2 linked regions of the Oryzias latipes genome follow. The protein of the gene in region 1 interacts with the protein of each later gene in a biochemical or structural test. Links are inferred from orthologs where the notes say so. Each region holds a gene or a part of one and is shown in the gene's direction. Other genes may lie near its edges.

What was found.
Region 2: the proteins of dhx9 (region 1) and A-kinase anchor protein 8-like form a complex in vitro, tested with the Homo sapiens proteins (2 studies listed by BioGRID). The link is inferred for Oryzias latipes from reciprocal best matches to the Homo sapiens genes DHX9 and AKAP8L.

What each region holds. Positions count from the first base shown.
Region 1 is NC_019875.2:12,671,545-12,675,883, reverse strand, and holds the start of dhx9 (ATP-dependent RNA helicase A), read left to right. Parts: upstream 1-1,252; 5' UTR 1,253-1,350; intron 1,351-1,860; 5' UTR 1,861-1,931; coding exon 1,932-2,042; intron 2,043-2,112; coding exon 2,113-2,253; intron 2,254-2,481; coding exon 2,482-2,587; intron 2,588-2,659; coding exon 2,660-2,814; intron 2,815-2,987; coding exon 2,988-3,136; intron 3,137-3,596; exon of another isoform or gene 3,597-3,656; intron 3,657-3,742; coding exon 3,743-3,789; intron 3,790-4,204; coding exon 4,205-4,339. UniProt on the Homo sapiens protein: Multifunctional ATP-dependent nucleic acid helicase that unwinds DNA and RNA in a 3' to 5' direction and that plays important roles in many processes, such as DNA replication, transcriptional activation, post-transcriptional RNA regulation, mRNA translation and RNA-mediated gene silencing.
Region 2 is NC_019859.2:24,048,056-24,051,062, reverse strand, and holds the end of A-kinase anchor protein 8-like, read left to right. Parts: intron 1-78; coding exon 79-209; intron 210-730; coding exon 731-826; intron 827-1,184; coding exon 1,185-1,559; 3' UTR 1,560-2,348; downstream 2,349-3,007. UniProt on the Homo sapiens protein: Could play a role in constitutive transport element (CTE)-mediated gene expression by association with DHX9. Increases CTE-dependent nuclear unspliced mRNA export.

The sequences.
Region 1 (4,339 bases):
TGGATATGGATAGAGAAAGCGTGGTTTTCTCTCCTGTGAGGTTCCTGTCTACAGCAGTAAACAAAGAGCAGCAAAAATGTGCAATTCTATTTCATACTATTGGTTTTATCAGGACTATAAACAGGACAGATTTTCTGTAGATTCTGTAGATTAAATCTTCGGTTGACACTGAAAAAATAAAAATGAAATAAAAATCTATGGTTTTAAGCTAATAAACCTTACAATGCAGGTCATGTTACAGCTATGTCATTTTATAAGAGAGATCTGGTTTTTTCTTAAATTAAAATCAGATGAGAAGTTTAGAAATTAGACAAGGATTTGGTCATTTGAAGATTTTTGTTTTATAAAAATAAACTGATTTGTTAAAACAAAATTTATTCGTGAGAAAAACAATGGAACATCCCACGTAACAAAATAAAAGGTTTTTGTTGACTTGATTTAAAATATAATTTACATTTGGAGTCCATATTTCGTGCTCCAAATATGAATCACACAGAAGCAAGATTAATATTTCCATAGTTGTTACTCGAAATTTGAACTTCTGATTGTTTATGGAACTTACATAAATGCTGAATTGAATTCATGAAGGAGAAATTGTGAAAAATTTTCATTTATTCATTTATTCATTCATTCATTCGTTCGTTCATTCATTTGTTCATTCATTCATTCGTTCGTTCATTCATTCATTCGTTCATTCATTTGTTCATTCATTCATTCGTTCTTTCATTCATTCATTCATTCATTCATTCATTCGTTCGTTCATTCATTTGTTCATTCATTCATTCGTTCGTTCATTCATTCATTCATTTATTCATTCATTCATTCGTTAATTCATTCATTCATTCATTCATTCATTCATTCATTCATCTTCTTCCGTTTGCTCCCTTTCGGGGTCACGGGGCTGCCAGAACCTATCTCGGCCACTTGTGGGCGAAGGCAGGGGGCACCCTGGACAGGTCGCCAGTCTCTCGCAGGGTTGGAATAATTTTAATAATTTAAATTTGATTACAGCAACAACAACAAAAACTTACACTGATTTTATGAATGTTTATGACACAGTGGCCACTTATAATCCTTGTGGACAATGGGTTGATGTTAACCACAATGTAATTTGAGTAAAGGAAACCAACTAGAGTGACAAAAGACAGAAATCTAGTTCTCATCCCAGTAGAATAAAAAAAATCATCATGCAGAGGGGCGTTGATAAAAAAGGATCAACTCACTGCCAGGAGCTAACAGTTCATTTCACCTCCAGAACAGAGGGTGGCGCTGTTGCGCGGTAGAAGAGTTCAAAGCTTCCGCTGTTGCCGCTTTGCAGGAATCTGCACTGCAGACTTGACTGAGCGGACGGTAGGTGTTGAATGTAGTCGTTGATGTTAGAATGAAAATGTTTGCTTTTTTAATATTTATTTTGCATACGTACTTCGTGTCTTACTGGCGTTAGTTAGTTTAGCCTCAATGCGTCTGTCAACGTTTACACCGGTTGATGAATGAAGCTAACGTTAGCATACTAGCATTTTCGTTGTAGTTGTCTCAGTTGCAACTGATGATTCAATGTGGGATCAATTGGGGAAAAATATTGCATGGAGGATCACATTATTGCTTGATGATAGGAGCTGCACGTGGCTAGCTGAAGTATAAAAACGGTCAAACATTTCCCCCGTGACTTAGTAACGTTAGTGTTGTTATCGTTTCTCCCTGTGTGTGTGTCGGCGCACATATGTTTTTCTGTTTAGGGTTTCTTTTACGACACGCACGCAGGCAGCGGTTTACTGTAGCTTCCTGAACAACACTGTATGTTTTGATGTGACGCCTGCCAGTGATTCTGCGGTTGTTCAGAGCCACCTCTGTGTTTTACAGGCAACACTAAGGGACCAGGGCACACCTGAAGCTCGCAGGTAAAGCCCACGCGGAGCTGGAAGCTCGCCACTATGGCGGACATCAAGAATTTCCTGTACGCCTGGTGTGGAAAGAAAAAGCTGACTCCCAACTACGAAATCCGGGCGGCGGGCAACAAAAACCGGCAGAAGTTCATGTGTGAGGTCGGTCTGCATTCACAGCCAGCTGGTTTGTAACCAGACTCTCCCGTAACGTCTCTGTTTGCTCCTGAAGGTGCGGGTGGATGGCTTCACCTATGTGGGGATGGGAAACTCCACCAGCAAGAAGGATGCTCAGACCAACGCCGCCAGGGACTTTGTCAACTATCTGGTCCGAGTCGGGGAGATGAAGGCTGAAGAGGTTCCAGCTCTGGGGGTCAGAAAGCTTTTTTTTACGCTTTTTTAAAGGAGATGTAAAAACAAAGCAAACCAGAGGAACATCTTTCCAATCAATAGAGCATCCAGCTATGTTCAGGCCAGAACAGAAAACCATTTAGAAAGTCAAGATCCATAAAGACTGGGAGACTGCAAGGATTAGTCAAAAGTTTACCAGTGGGCAGCGAACACTTAACCGGAACTGACGGCCTTTTGTTGTTCTACCCAGGCCGTGGCTCCAGAACCCAACCAGCCCGAAGGACCTCCGGGAAGCTTCGGAACCCTCCCAGCCAGCGGGCCGCTGCCCCCCCACCTGGTGGTGAAGGTGGAGAAAGGTTTGAGCCGAACACACCTAACCTGCTGCTCCCTGACTTCAGTCCTCTTCATCCTGTGGTTTCTGTTTTCAGAGGCTGATGCCTTCATCAATGCACCTCCAGGACAGACTGAACAAGGGTTCCCTCCTAGAGGTGGCAATGGGGGAGGAGGAGGAGGGGCTGAGTGGGACAGAGGAGCCAACCTGAAGGAGTACTACGCCCGGAGGGATGAGCAGGAGGCTCAAGCGGTACTGGAGCCAGCTATGTGCCATGAAGCTGCTTTTCAAGAAGATCCCGGTCCTTTTGAGCTGTGTTGTCACATGTTGCAGTCACATGACTGTGACAACATTAGGCGGCTTCATAACAGGTGGGACTGCTCTGCCTTAGTACCGGTCCCACTAATGCGGCTCTCCTGTTGTAGACGCTGGAATCCGAGGAGGTAGACCTGAATGCAAACTTGCACGGAAACTGGACCCTGGAGAACGCCAAGGCCCGTCTCAACCGGTTCTTCCAGCAGGAGAAGATCACCTCCGAGTACACGTACAGCCAAGTGGGACCCGATCACAACAGGTCTGGATCAGCGCTCCCCTACAAGCCGTCTGACCAGATCCAGCCTGACGAGCCCAGGTCTCTCGTCAGTCTGGATCTGGTCTTTTCTGCTGTTCAGATCTGTCAGGTGGGGGTGGGAGAGTGGGGTATTGACAAATGAACTCTAATTAAAAAGCTGCAGCTTCTCGGGTTGGTAAATGTTTCCTCTGAAAGGGGCCACACTCCTGGGCCCGCCGCTCACTGGTAGCACCTGTGTGTTTTTCTGCCGGACTGCTGCAAACCCAGAGAGCTCCTGCGTGTGCCGGCTACACCGGAGAGCCCTCACAGCCACATGCTCAACTCAAAGCCTGCAGAGCGACACTAGAACTCACGACCACGCTGAGGAAATACATGGGGATGGCGTTTAGGTTCTCTAAAGCCCCCCCATGGGTGCAGCTCCGTGGTCTCTGGTCGTGATTTGTGGTGTTGCTCTTCATTGTAGGCTTTAAAACCTGAAAGTCTGGCAGAAAAACGCCCAGGTTTCTTTCTGAGGACACATCAGGTGAGTCTGCTCCTGAGGGATGCTTGGCTTTAGGCTTTTACTTTGAAAGGCACGGGATGTAACTCTGCCATGTTATTTGTCTGCAGGAGCTTCATAGCAGAGATGCAGCTGTTCGTGAGGAAGCTCGGCAGAAGTAAGTTTTGACATGTCTGTACATGAGACCACAGAGACGGTTCTGTGCTGAGATTCTTTACGCTTATTTTAGCAGAGCCAGTAAATAGAAATTGGTGCTTTCCTTAACAAATAGAAAACCTTTTCTCTTGTGTTTTAAGTATCAGAAAGCTTGTATTTTTTAGCATTTTGAAATTTTTCTTAAAACTAAATGACAAAAGACTAATACCGGCAGAAACCAATTCTTTTAATAAATATGAAACAAACGAATCACCCCTCAAATAGGAATAGTTTACTTTCTCCCGCCCCATTGTGCCTTCAACCCTGTTGAGGTGGATGCAACAAAAACCAATCGATTTTGATTCGTTACTGCTGTGCAGAATCCTACGGGTGATGTCAGAGATGACTCCGCCCCTTTTGTGCTGTGTTGTTTACAGAGATCACGGCCCGCGAACACGGATCTAACAAGAAGCTGGCAGCGCAGTCGTGCGCGCTGTCGTTGGTGCGACAGCTGTACCACCTGGGGGTGCTGGAGGCGTACACCGGGGTCACCAAGAAGAGGGAAGGCGAGA
Region 2 (3,007 bases), on another chromosome or scaffold:
TAATATACAGTCAAAGGTACAAATGCTTGTTTTTGTACCAAAACAAAATACTGACAGCATATCCAACACTTTTTGCAGAACTGGGCATGGAGCACTTCATGAGGAAGGTGGAGGCAGCTCACTGTTCAGCGTGTGATGTTTTCATTCCCATGCAGCCCCATCTGATCCAGAAACACATCAAGTCTCATGACCATAACTACAACCGAAAGGTATGTCACATCAAGCCTTTGAAGAGTTTGACAGGAAACCAACTACATAAAAGCATCACTCAGATCAGAAAAAATGCAGAGCAAAAGGATTTACACACAAATGATGTCCAATTAGAAAATTATCATGTTTAGACAGCTATTACAGACCAGCACATAGCTTTTTGGGTGAGTGCTACCTTATAACCACAGTAACTTGTTTCTCTGATATGCAAGAATGCGATTTGTCACATTTCCCCCGAGCGCGGCTAGCCCGCATCTCACCGCTCCCCCCAGAGGATGGGTCAAATGCAGAGAAGGAATTTCCCCATTGTGGGATAAAGTAAAATTACTATTATTATTACATTTTTAAGACTTCTAAAGCTGCATTCACACTGAACGCAAGTCGCACAGCCAATTTACGCATTGGTGGGGCAAATTCTGTCTCGGCATTCCTTTAGACCGTCTACCTGAAGGTACGACGACAGTGACTAACGTTTCTTATTCTTCTGTAAATGTTCAATCTGGAACTGTCCTATTTTAAGGGAATGATGGAACAGTCCAAGCGAGGATGTCTGTCAGTCGCTCGAAGCATTCTTAACCACAAACTGATTGGCAAGAAGCTGGAGAGCTACCTTAAGGTAAGTAGATCCCATCTGGCCTGTCACTGAAGAATGGAAAATGAGGAATCAAGTGAAGTGACATCTGCTTGACAATTCTGAATTATATTTTAAACCCATAGATGAAGACAAACAGTCCACTTTTTGTAGAAAAAAAAGCGATCCGAACCGAAAAAATAAATAAAATAAAGTGAATATGTTTCTTATGTGACCATGGTGTAAGCGGGATAATGGCCTTCAAAGTGTGCATTATCAGAAATAAATGCACTTCGCGGAAGCGTGCAGTAATTTCTGATAATGCACACTTCGTCAGCCATTAACCCTTACATACTCCTGTTAGTTTTCATTAACGAAACTTCAGATATTCGTTTTCTTTCAGGGTGAAAACCCGTTTGTTGGTAACCAGGATGAGCAGGATCCAGAGGACTCCATAGCGAACGAAGCCTCTGAGGTAACCAGTGAGGCAGCAGCTGGTCAGACAGAGGTCAAAGACGAACCTGTGCCTGAGGAAGAGACTGTCAAAGAAGAGATGGAAGAGGTGCAGATAGAACCGCCGGCAGCTACAGCTGCAGACCAAGAAGAAGAACGAGAGGGCAACATGGAGCAGGACGGAGACAAGGAGCTGGAGAATGCAGAAATGGAGGGTTTTGAAGTTGGAGAGGATGAAGATGAGGGATACATAGTACACAATGAGTTCGAGGAAGGGGGGTTCCGGGATCCTGACGAGGAGGAAGCGGGGGCCAATGTTGCCTAAGAAGACAAAGTTAACGCTTTATTTAATGTGCAACTTTTTGACCAGTATTTTGTCTCTTATCACCCCCCCCCCCAAAATCCTTCCTGTCTGCATCTGAGGGCCAGACAAAAACCAGTGAAGTTGTACCACATCAGCAGAACATTATGCAGTTTCAAGTGTAGCTTTGCAAAAGGTTGTCTGAGCAGCGGGGTGACATCTTATCAAAGGGATGCTGCATATCTGCTTTGAGGATGTTCATCCACTACAAAGAGGCCCATCCAGTCCTGCTTTTGCATAAACACATGCAAAAGTCCCTGCCAGGACCAGGCCCTTACTTTGGTTTTTGGGAATAGTGAATGTTTCCAACACTGTTAGTTTTATTGCTAAGATTAAAATTTAGGAATGCAAAAACACGAAGTAAAAGTATTGTCAACATTTACGTGAAAAACACAAATGCATGACTTCCCATCAATTAGTTGTAGATATTTTGGTAGACTCCTTTCTACATCTTAGACTGCCAGGCAAGAGCTCTTGCCTTTGTCTTTAAGTCTGTGTGCACTCTGTTCTTAACTCCAGCTGAAATGTTTGTGTTTAAAGCCATTTGTAAATTCTACTAAAAATGTAACTGTTGGGCCTGATTTCTGTGCCTTTTGTGAAGTGTTGGAAATCTTTAGAAATATTGAAATAATCTGTATTGTCTTAAGCCATTGCTTTCCCTCAGACATGAAACGGTGCCACTGTGTTCATTTGGATACAGTGATGTTTATTGACATGCCCCAAAATATTCCAATAAAGGATGTGGAGAAAATTGTTTTGTATTATTATTGTTTTGCTTGAAATGAGTGGCCGCACAATGTGAACATCATCTGATAACTTTCTGTAAATAACGTGGTTATAATATATCGATCAATATAGAATTTATATAGTTTATATAACTGGATGTCTTGCTGTCAACAAATTTAAAACATTTTAAACAATTATTGATGTTTTTGTCAATTCAGGTAACATAAACTTCACCTAAATGCACTTTTGTTTAAATTATCAATTTAAAATATAGCTTTTAAAGTTTGTTCTTGCTTTTAGTGTCAATCTTTTCTTTTGTCTATTTTAAAATATTAACTATTTTTCAGGATTTCACAGTTCTAACAGCAATCCGACGTGAATACCCTGTCATACCACTAGACGGCGCAGTTGCGTTCTGTTACGTAACGTCACTGGGCTATCAGCTGAACAGTTTTTTTTATTTTTTTTACATTTTGACTTTCGTGTTTAATATTAGGATTTAGGGTTGATTTGATGAAAAACTGCAACAAAAAATTGGGTAAATTGATAAATTTTTACGCATTTCTTTCACAGCAAATATACTGGATGAAGAAGTAAAATGTTTTTTGTTTTCCAAATGTAAAGGCCAGCCTCTATCTGCAAAGGTGTTAAGTTGTAGATTCCTTCTCCATCTTTTCAAATAAAGC